3 linked regions of the Styela clava genome follow. The protein of the gene in region 1 binds, or shares a complex with, the protein of each later gene. Links are inferred from orthologs where the notes say so. Each region holds a gene or a part of one and is shown on either strand. Other genes may lie near its edges.

Evidence for each region.
Region 2: mediator of RNA polymerase II transcription subunit 4-like (region 1) and mediator of RNA polymerase II transcription subunit 20-like share a complex: the UniProt entries of both Drosophila melanogaster proteins name them as parts of the mediator complex. The link is inferred for Styela clava from reciprocal best matches to the Drosophila melanogaster genes MED4 and MED20.
Region 3: mediator of RNA polymerase II transcription subunit 4-like (region 1) and mediator of RNA polymerase II transcription subunit 8-like share a complex: the UniProt entries of both Drosophila melanogaster proteins name them as parts of the mediator complex. The link is inferred for Styela clava from reciprocal best matches to the Drosophila melanogaster genes MED4 and MED8.

What each region holds. Positions count from the first base shown.
Region 1 is NC_135264.1:5,108,067-5,111,831, forward strand, and holds the start of mediator of RNA polymerase II transcription subunit 4-like, read left to right. Parts: upstream 1-1,419; 5' UTR 1,420-1,551; intron 1,552-2,245; 5' UTR 2,246-2,310; intron 2,311-2,792; 5' UTR 2,793-2,879; coding exon 2,880-3,692; 3' UTR 3,693-3,765. UniProt on the Drosophila melanogaster protein: Component of the Mediator complex, a coactivator involved in the regulated transcription of nearly all RNA polymerase II-dependent genes.
Region 2 is NC_135251.1:21,685,109-21,688,873, reverse strand, and holds mediator of RNA polymerase II transcription subunit 20-like, read left to right. Parts: upstream 1-984; 5' UTR 985-1,723; coding exon 1,724-2,332; 3' UTR 2,333-3,234; downstream 3,235-3,765. Other genes in the region: prolyl hydroxylase EGLN3-like, read left to right, coding at 3,235-3,765. UniProt on the Drosophila melanogaster protein: Component of the Mediator complex, a coactivator involved in the regulated transcription of nearly all RNA polymerase II-dependent genes.
Region 3 is NC_135258.1:9,744,373-9,747,100, reverse strand, and holds mediator of RNA polymerase II transcription subunit 8-like, read left to right. Parts: upstream 1-1,083; 5' UTR 1,084-1,085; coding exon 1,086-1,820; 3' UTR 1,821-2,079; downstream 2,080-2,728. Other genes in the region: cytochrome P450 26B1-like, read left to right, coding at 1-125. UniProt on the Drosophila melanogaster protein: Component of the Mediator complex, a coactivator involved in the regulated transcription of nearly all RNA polymerase II-dependent genes.

The DNA.
Region 1 (3,765 bases):
TTTTTCAGTCATAGTCATGAAGGCAGTAAATAAAATAAACGCGTGCTAAACACTCGCTCACTTAAATAATTATGCAATGAAAGTGATGAATGCATTTGAGCGCTTACTAGCCTTACTTCACACTGAAGTAAGATATGGCTTTCCATGGATATCTATCTGCCATACACCAGCAAGACGGGTATCGCTGCTCGATGACCAGCATTTGATTTTCGCGGAACTTGGAATGCCATTACTACGTTTACTCCTATTCAATGTTCGAACCAAGTGTATATTAAGTTTGGTGAAAAAATAAACTACTGACTGACTGATTTCACACCCTTTTGATACTGTTGTTGAATTCCAGCAGTTTACTTTCATGGAGAATAAATCAATCTGATAAAGATGGATTGGTTCCAATAACACTGTCTGGTTCCAATAATAGGCTCGTCGTGTATCAGTGAAATATGCCTGGACGAACATTTTTCCAATTCTAGTTTAGTATTATTCACGGACGTGGGATTCTTGAAAAGGAACATCAAATTGCAAAAAGATTTTGAACTCAAACAAATGTTCAGTGTTCCATAATAATTGTTCAGAATTAAACCAAATTAAAATACCCTCACGTGCGGGATCATGTAAAAAAAAATCCTTTAACAGCTCATACCTGTGCCATGACCGCGCTTCTAGATTACAAGAGTAACCGCATTTGACATCGTTGAAGAAACATAAGACCGTTTCTGACTAAAATGAAGCCGGATATTGATAAGCTAGCTGGTGACGTTTTATTTTGCTCACCCATCTCATTAGGCTAATGATGAATGGAGAATAAATTCATTTATGCTTATCAGTCAAAGGTGAAGCGAATGCGCTCTACTTTTACATAAAAATCACATTTATTTTGTGATGTGATAGTGGAAGTACACTCCAGCATTTACGGATGGCGCTGGTGGTGTCGCTGCCTGAAGACCTCTTGAGGTCCCTCGCGACTCCTGTCACACAATTTAAGTTAGTTTCCACTTGTATTTGTGATATTTTTTCATATATCATACCATGTTTAAATTGTGTTGACGAATAAATGATGATTGATTGGATGGCAAAGGTATAAGCAAAGAAGTGTGAATAAAATTTGTTAATATATGCTTTGGGGAATGGCAGCTGCTACGTAACAAAAATATAAAAAATCATTAATGAGCATATGGATTATTTATGCTACTTTAATATCCGGTTATTATATTTGTTTAATTTTGTCTGTACATTGTTTCATGCACGACGAAATAAATACAGTATCTGAATCTGTTAACCGTCACAATGCTATCCGGATATCAGGTAGCAAAATACATTTGGGTTAACCGGTTTCGGTATCCGGACAATTCAACCCCACATCAAACATGGAAAACAAACGACTGGTTAACTAATCAGACTAATGGGCGGTATTGCTGTATTGTTACGATATTTTATAGGCTACTCTACGTGCTGACCTGTGTCTTTGTCATCAACGTACCGGGTACCGGTACTGACGTAACGAATATTGTACGGTACCGGTATTGAAGTTCACAAATACCGATACCTACGGTATGTCATTAAGGGGTCTGGTATAGTTTAGTACCACATCCACTTCTAGTTGGCCTGGCTCAACAATTTTTGCATATGTCAATCCTAACCCCCACCTGACTACGTCACCGAAAAATTACGTCATTCCGACGTCACAGTGGCGTAATAAGGCCCACCGAAGTATGCGGATGGTCGTCCAAAACGCGCAGACGATAACCCGAAATCGAGCAAGCTATTTCTCTCGTTTTCTCGTCGCAACGATCACGATAGGAGAGAGATCGCCGGCCTTAACAAGTTCTTATCGGCGGCGCAGATGCCATTTCGGGCGATGGTAATTATACTTTGGCAATCCCTATGACGTGATGGTGACGTCGTAGTGACGTAATTTTTGGATGGCATAATCAGGTGAGGGTTAGGAGTAACATATGCAAAAATCGTTATGCTACGCCCACCGGAAGTACCGGCACTTGTGGTACTAAACTATACTAGACCCTCATTAAGTTATATGAACGATTCTTTAACGTACTAATATAATGTCATTACCCTAAAACTTACAAAATCATTGGATACTGGTGTTCCTTATTAAAACATAGGTCCGCTTCCTTAAGAATCATGTTGCAAACAGTATTCAGGTATTTTTTTTATTTAAGTCAGTAAGTAGCCTACATTTAAATAACTAGGGTCTCTGGGTTTACAAAATTGAATTATTTTTTAGGTCAATTTTAGAAGAAATGAGCGCTAGACTACGGTATAGGTTCGCTATTGTTTTGGAATGAAAATGTAAGTAAGTGTAGCTCCTCTGCATTTTGTTTGTCCGTTTGTTGATGTTTTGTTTCGTTCAGAGTGGCCAAAATAAAATTGATTGATTGATAGCTCTATGCAGCTATGAAACAGAAAATAAAAGTTCTCCGCCTAAATAAATTGAGTTCATTGAATGTATTTTTTCCAACAACATTATGCATTATTATTTTATCACAATTTATCCTTCAGTTATTTTAAATTTGTATTAAGTCAACGGTGATACGATATATTATACTAATGTAAATAGAATCAGATTCCAATCAAAATTAAATTTTTTAAAAACTTACATCTGTAATCCTTCCTTTAATTAAGATAAACATAATTTATTCCTAAATTGTCAAACTTAAATTGTCAGGAATATAAGATCATATATTGGGTTGCGGTTATTTGCGATAAAGTTCCGTCTTTGTTGTAAACTATTATTACAGTATTATTAACAATAAGAAACTTCTTCATTGCAGGCATAATTTTAATTCAGGGTATTTCAATATCATAATATTGATATTCAAATTTATTCTTCAAAAGTTATTATCGAAAAAAGATTGGAAATGGAATTACAACGAGGAAGCATCAGCACTAAACAACAATTAATGGCTCTTGTTGAAGACATTGATCTTATTACTCGGCAATTGTTTGAAACTCTTTCCCAACAGTCATCAAGGCAATCTTCAACCAGTCAAACTTTCAATTCTCAAAATGATGAAGCTATCCCACAAAAAATGAACGTGAATCAGCTTACTGATCTTTTGCTTCAAAAAAACAAAGATTTAGAAGAGAAAATGGCAATGGCACGCGACCAACAACAACTTCATCGTGATATCAAATTATACAAAGCTGAAATCGCACAAAAAAATAAAGAAATTGAGGTTTTACAAAAACACCTAAAAGATGCGGAACATCTTTTATCCACTGCTCTATACCAAGCCAAAGAAAAACTCAAATCGATCAGAAGAGCAAGAAAAGGTGCTGTTCCTTCTGAAGATATCATTAAATATGCTCACAAAATAAGCGCTGCATGTGCCACGGCAGCTCCATTAAATTGGGCGCCAGGTGACCCAAGACGACCCTATCCACAGGACATCGAAATGAGATGTGGTTGGCTGGGACAGATTAACAATATGACAGATGCAAATTCAACGATTAAGCCACCGCCGCAGTTAGGAACGGAAGGACTTTCTGTACCAAATTTAGTTGGTATGTCGCGATCTAATGATATACAACAACCACAATGGGGCAACCAATCAGCATCTGGTATGGACGGAAAATTTGGATATGGTCAAAAAGGAGATGAAGAGGTTGAAATAATGTCCTCTGATTCATCATCAAGTTCATCTTCGGATTCTAGTTTCGGGAATGATTAAATTATAGTATTGTCAGAATATTAGTTTTTAATATTTAAGGAATACTCACTGCCTGTTTTCTTTTTTAATTTCT
Region 2 (3,765 bases), on another chromosome or scaffold:
CACCACCGACGTTCCATGAGCGTGATCAAAAGAACAACAAAAAGAGTGACAGCACAAAAACAAATCCAATACGTGTCATAAAAACGAATCCCACAGTGCTATCAAGAATATTTGAAATAGATGAATGTAATAGCCTTCTAAAGAATTTTTTTATCTTTAACCACTGAAAAGAGCAATTGGTCCAGTAATCAAAAAGAAAAGCGACTTTTTACGTTTTCCACAAGGTGTCCAAAAGTGTCAAAGAACAACAACAACATAATATTAAAACGATCGTTATGTTCACTAACTTGTCCAACAAGAACAACAAAAATTGCAAAACGATCGTTATGTGCACCAACGTGTCCAATTTACGTGCGAACTTGATCATTTCACATTTTGAAAAAACTACACACACGTGAGCTACTTGATCTCAAAAATCGGTGTGTCAGATAATTTGCAAAAATCCATTGACAGTAACCAGCAATGCTAACCGGTTTGCTGATCTCAAAATTCCGTGAGACGGTTCTATAGAACCAGTGCGAACAGGATGAATCCCACAACTGGATAAAGTGCGTAATAAACCGACATATTTTAATAAGTGATAGGGCCTACTACCCTCTAGTACAGGGTGGTCCAAACCCAGGCCGGCGGGCCACATGTGGGCCGCCGCGTCATTATCCGTGGCCCGCGACTCATTTGCGCGAAGGGAAACAAAAAATTGCACTTGGAGTTGTTTCATCTTGAAAATAACCAAAAAATATTTTAAAGTCACTGAATTGAGTAGTGTTATGGCTAGCTGAAGCAGCTAGCGTGGTTAATTTATGTGCTTAGGTAGACTAAATATTTATCTGGCTTTCCATTTTTTTGTTCGGGAATATATGCTAACAAAATAAGCTTCGTAGAAAAGTAAAAATCGAATATAAAGAATCTATAAGCCTAGGTTGGCTACGCATGTAACTGAATATAATTCCTGTCGGATCTTTTTTGAAATTTAGTAATTATCCTAATGTATCCCAAATTTGGTGAAATTCAGTAATCAATCAATCTGCTGTTATTTGTAAATTATTTTGTAAACATGAGTTTGAAAAGAATGCTGACCAATTCAAACAGATTTTTTGACTGGATATGGGATACCGGTACCATACCATAATACTTGCCCAATATGTCTGCAAGTTGTGTCGGTGATGACTGATGATCTAAAACGACATTTTCTTCGTTATGAAAAGTTTGAAATTTTACACTAAATGTAGATATAGACTAGTCTAGTAAGATTTGTGCAAGTTTTAGTAAGTTTTTTTTGGTGGTTTTTGTACGTTTTAGCTTGATAAATGACTAATAATGATCAATGTGTTTGGACAATAGAAGTGTGTGTTTTGTATTGCACTGTATACTCTAGGCACTATTGTGGCCCGCGAGGCCGACAACCTTGGACCACCCTGCTCTAGTGGTATAAGGGGAAAATTTTTCCATAAACAATGAATAACTTTGTAATATTTTTGATAAGTTGAAAGCAGATTGCAGACCCCAAAATTTTGTAGATATCATTTTTTGTGACAAAATTCATTTTCACATTGAAGTAGCATTGTAGAATTTTGTGAAATATACTCTACTATACCACTTTTTGTCATGCAGGTCTGCATTTTCTTGTTGTTTGTATCAATACTTCTTTCTGTATATGTACAAGCTGATTTAAATTAACGCATTCATGCTAAAATAAAGTTGAGATATTATATAATCTGGCAGTATGGGAGTTACATTTGTAACCCATTGGGATATTGAGGAAGGAAAAAATGTTCCACAATCATTAGAAGAACTTCAACGGACAATTGAAAAAATTGGAGCTAAAAAATCAGGATTATTTTGCGTGGAATGTGAAACATATCAAACAGTGAACATTAATCAAGGAAAACCTCTAAACATAATATCCAACTCGGAATACCCATTGTCAAAATTTGCACTTTTTGAAGATGGTGCTTCACTAATCGCAGATGCAATGCTACCAAATTTTTTAGTTAAGATGAGATTGTTTTGGCAACAGCGCAAAGGGGCAAAGATTGAGTGCAAAGGACATCGGTATATTCTCAATGATTTTTTATTCAAAATTGGAGTAGTTACTCATGGGTCAAATACAAGAGGAATTGCTGTTGAGATAGAGTACACTCCGTGCCTTTATGTTAAAGAATGTTGGAATTTGCTTTTAGAGATTTTTCAAAATATTCTGGGACCCCAAGCTCCTACATCGGAAAATCCACTTTTTCAAAAATTGAAATCAACTGACATAATATATACAGCGGAACATACATCTTTACAATACATAGAAGTTTTCAATAATTTTCGCAAAGTTACATCATGAATTGGGATTTTATATTCCGTTGGTCTGTTTCGTGTATTTGTAACATTGGAGTTGCAATGAGTTATAAAGTATGAAATATCAAATATTTTAATATTACCAGAACTTTCAGAACCTGTCCCTCCAAAATAGTAGATGAGAATTGATTTCCTATTTTTATTATGGAGAATGAAGTTTCTTATCGTCTTGTTCAACATTAAACAAATAATTGAAAATAATGCCATTTTCAACTAATTTGGTTTAAACTTTGAAAATTAGCTTTGGCGTCATCGCTCTAAAAAGTTTACTGATAAGTTTTTATTTTATTAAATATTTGGTATATATGTCTGCTAATTTAATACTTTCTTCTAAACAAAAATGTTATTCATATCCATGGGAAGATGATTTAATAAAAGGATTTTGCAAAACATTCGGTTAATTTTGACATGTAATATTTTTGTATTGCCATTTTTACTATGAACGTTGCCATGTACAGGGATCCCAGTTCAATACACCCTGCGTGAGATGATAGGCATGTGACTTCAACATGGGATGTTCAACCTAGTTATGCCCAGCGCTTTAACCAGTGATTTCATTTTATATTTGTTCATTTTTAAATCCATGCCTGTACGATGTGTATGTTATGTAGGTTTACATAAACTTTTGAAACCAACTTGATTGCTCTTTAGATATATTGACATAGTGACAGTACGATGACAGTCATGGTCACGATGCTTTGTTTAACTAGCATATTTATACGCTATTCAAATATTCCCATCTACTTATTACTACTTCTCAATAAAGTATCGAAATAATTTTACACAACCCAAATTGATGATATTGTGGAAAGAAAATCAGTCTGATTATAAGTTTTCATACAATTGCTATTTTATGAATTTATCTCAATTTTCTACCATCATCAATTTATGAGCTTGATAACCTTATTTGCAGAAATATTGTTTGTTCACTATAATAAGATGCCAACTTGTGCTGTTTGCGATAAGCTTGACAATTTGAAGTCCTGTAGTCGATGTGGAAGTGTAGAATATTGTGGGCGTGAACACCAAACACAACATTGGAAAGTGCATAAAAAAGATTGTAAAAAACAATCGGGCAAGACAGACAGCACTGAAAATTCTGAAGAACAAAATGAGAATTCCACAATAGATGAAGTCGCACAAAAGATCAAATCAATGAATTTAGAAACAGAAGGTCGTGTGGCACAGAATTCTATTCCTCTTAACCCATATGATAGTTACACAAAAAGGGATGAAGGAATTGTTGCTCGATGTCATAAAAACTTAGTTCAGAGGGGAATATGCGTCATCGATACGTTTGTGGATGAAAATAGAGCGGATTTGTGTCTGGCTGATGCAATGTCTTTATATTCGCAACCCGATAAATTTAAACCGGGTGAAGTGATCAAGCAAGCGGGAAAAGATAAAATACGCGGAGAT
Region 3 (2,728 bases), on another chromosome or scaffold:
AAACGTTACTGGAAAAATTTACATGGGAAATTGATGGTGATGTCAACAATACAAAAAAGTACAAATTACTCCCAGTCGCAAGACCTACAGAATTGCCTTGCGTTAGATTTCATAATAAAATATAGTTGATTATTTTTCTCACAATTTTTGTCGTTTTACCTCTGTATTGTGTTATGTGCCCATTATCCTCTATAGCCTAATCTGTTTTTAAAATGTTCCGATGAAATTTCAAATTACATTCAACACTCTGAAGCTTTAAAATTGTTTTGAACAAGTCCTTTTTTCATTCAATCATTATATAACTAATTCTTTCTTACAAATTGCAACTTCTTGCAAATTGCACTTGATTCTTCGAAATCAATTTGTTATCATTTTTTTTAATTTTTCTGTAAAATTTTTAATCACTTGATTATTAATACCTTATGAATGATGAACAGTATTATTGTTACTGTACTGTACCATGTTACCGCAGCATTATTTTTATCAATATGAATTTTGCAATGTCAGTCAGTACTTGATATATTCCCAGAGCACTTTTTTATCTTTATTTGTTACCTAACAAATATACCATATATCATGGATGTTTATTAATATTGATATTGTTAACAAAAATTCTATTCTCATATTTCTCCACATCGGTATTGGAATACTGTACTTCTAGACTTTTTTGAAAAATTATTTATAACTTGAGTATTTTCTAATTTATTTGTTTTGCAATTGAGTTTTCTCTGCAGATTATTTCTTCAAATTATTATCAATATTACAATGCGGTTCATTTAGAAATCAAGATTTGTTCTCTCCATTTCTATGCATGAAATTTGAAATTATCTTTTTGTGTACCTTAATTAAACGATATTCAGCATGATTTGTGAGTTACCTAATTCAAACATTTACAGACTTCTTTTTTATATAAGACCTGTCTATTTAAACCGGTATTCCATCTTGTACTAGTGTTTTTATCAAACTGTGTTGTGGCTTGTGATAAGAATCAGTTTCAAATTTTCTGATAGGGCTGTATTTGATTTTTGACTAGTTTTTATTATCAAATGATGTGAAGTTATGCAAATTGATATCTTAGATTTATAATGAGTACTGTTTATATTTATCAGCCTGCAACACTTATTTCTAAAAATAATATCATGGAATCTCAAGGAATAGAAGAAAAAGTGCTCGAGCAATCAGTTGAAGCCCTCATGAATCGTTCTCGAGAATTGAAAAATGCTTTGGTACAATTTATTGCAAAAATAGATCACGAACATGAAACTCTTACTTGGACATCAGTCTTGGATAGTTATGCTCTGTTATCGGGTCAAATGAGTTCACTCTTCAACTTATTGAAAGCTGAAAAAATAGCACCTCTTCAAAATTATCCTATTATACCATTACGCTTGGGCCAGGATGACGACCAATATCTTGCTAATCTAACGGAAGGTAGATTGCTATATCTTAATCATGCCGTTGTCCCAGATTATCTAAGGACCAAACCTGATCCAGAGGTCGAACAAACGGAACGTCAAATGAATAATGAAGCAAGTGTATGTAATGATGCAGCCGTCAAAAACTTAAACAAATGTTGTGATAAAATGTTAGAAAGAATAAAACTTTCTCTACATAATTGGAAAAACGATCAACAGCAAATGAAAAATATAAAACCAACATTTAATCAGAATGACACTGTACAATTAATTGCAGCTTCAACGTACGGTCGTGATATTTCAATACAACAGTCTCGAAACCCAACTCAGCTACCACCAGGAGGTGGGAAAATGCAAACGGCTACGGGTGTCAAAATAGAGTCCCATCCATATTCAAGGCCATGATTGCTTAGGATCAATGTTTTGGATCCATTTGGTATTGGAATATTGTTGTAAACGCATTGTCTTAACATGAAATAAAGGCTTTATGAGCCGTGGGACTGCTTGAAAAAATATAAGCAAAACTCTATGTTATATTCTGACATTACATGAATAAATATATGAGGGAACTGGCGAATATGTAGGGGAATTGTAGTTCATCTAAAATTAATTTTTCTATCTAGATTATGAAGAAGACTGATGAAATACAATATGATAAAAACTGCTTTTCTTGTGATATATTTATTTTATATTGAGCATGAAAGCGGAATTGGAATTAGCCTCTTTGTTGAGGTATCTTTCTATACCATAAGCGTAAGGGAATGCCTATGGGCCTGTTTTACAGTAAGCCATGGTACAAACTGCTAAATTTAACATGGTTTGTCGAATCTTGGATGTTTTGTACTCCCAGATTGGGTTTCACAATGTAGTTTCCATGCCAGTTTTGTATAAAGCCATGGTACAAACTGCTAAATTTAACATGGTTTTTCAAATCTTGGATGTTTTGTACTTCCAGATTGGGTTTCACAATTTAGTTTCCATGCCAGTTTTGTATACCATTCATATTGTCTGATAATACAACAACAAGAACATCTACTAAGCAAACAAAACTTTAATGTTTGAGCTTGACTGGTTACGAGTTAGTCTGACAGGTACGTAGGGCTTGATCAATCCAACTTACTGTTCTCCCATTATGATCAAGGGTAGGGATGGGCAATATAGAATACCGAATCCGGAGGATTCGAATCCAACGGGATCCGATATCAGGATTCGGTTTCCGCCTTTCCGGCGGCAAGCGTCAATTCTTGTATTTCGGGTTTCTAATTTATCAATTAAAGACGAGCGTTTTTTCTCGCGTGGAAATCTCTCTCGTT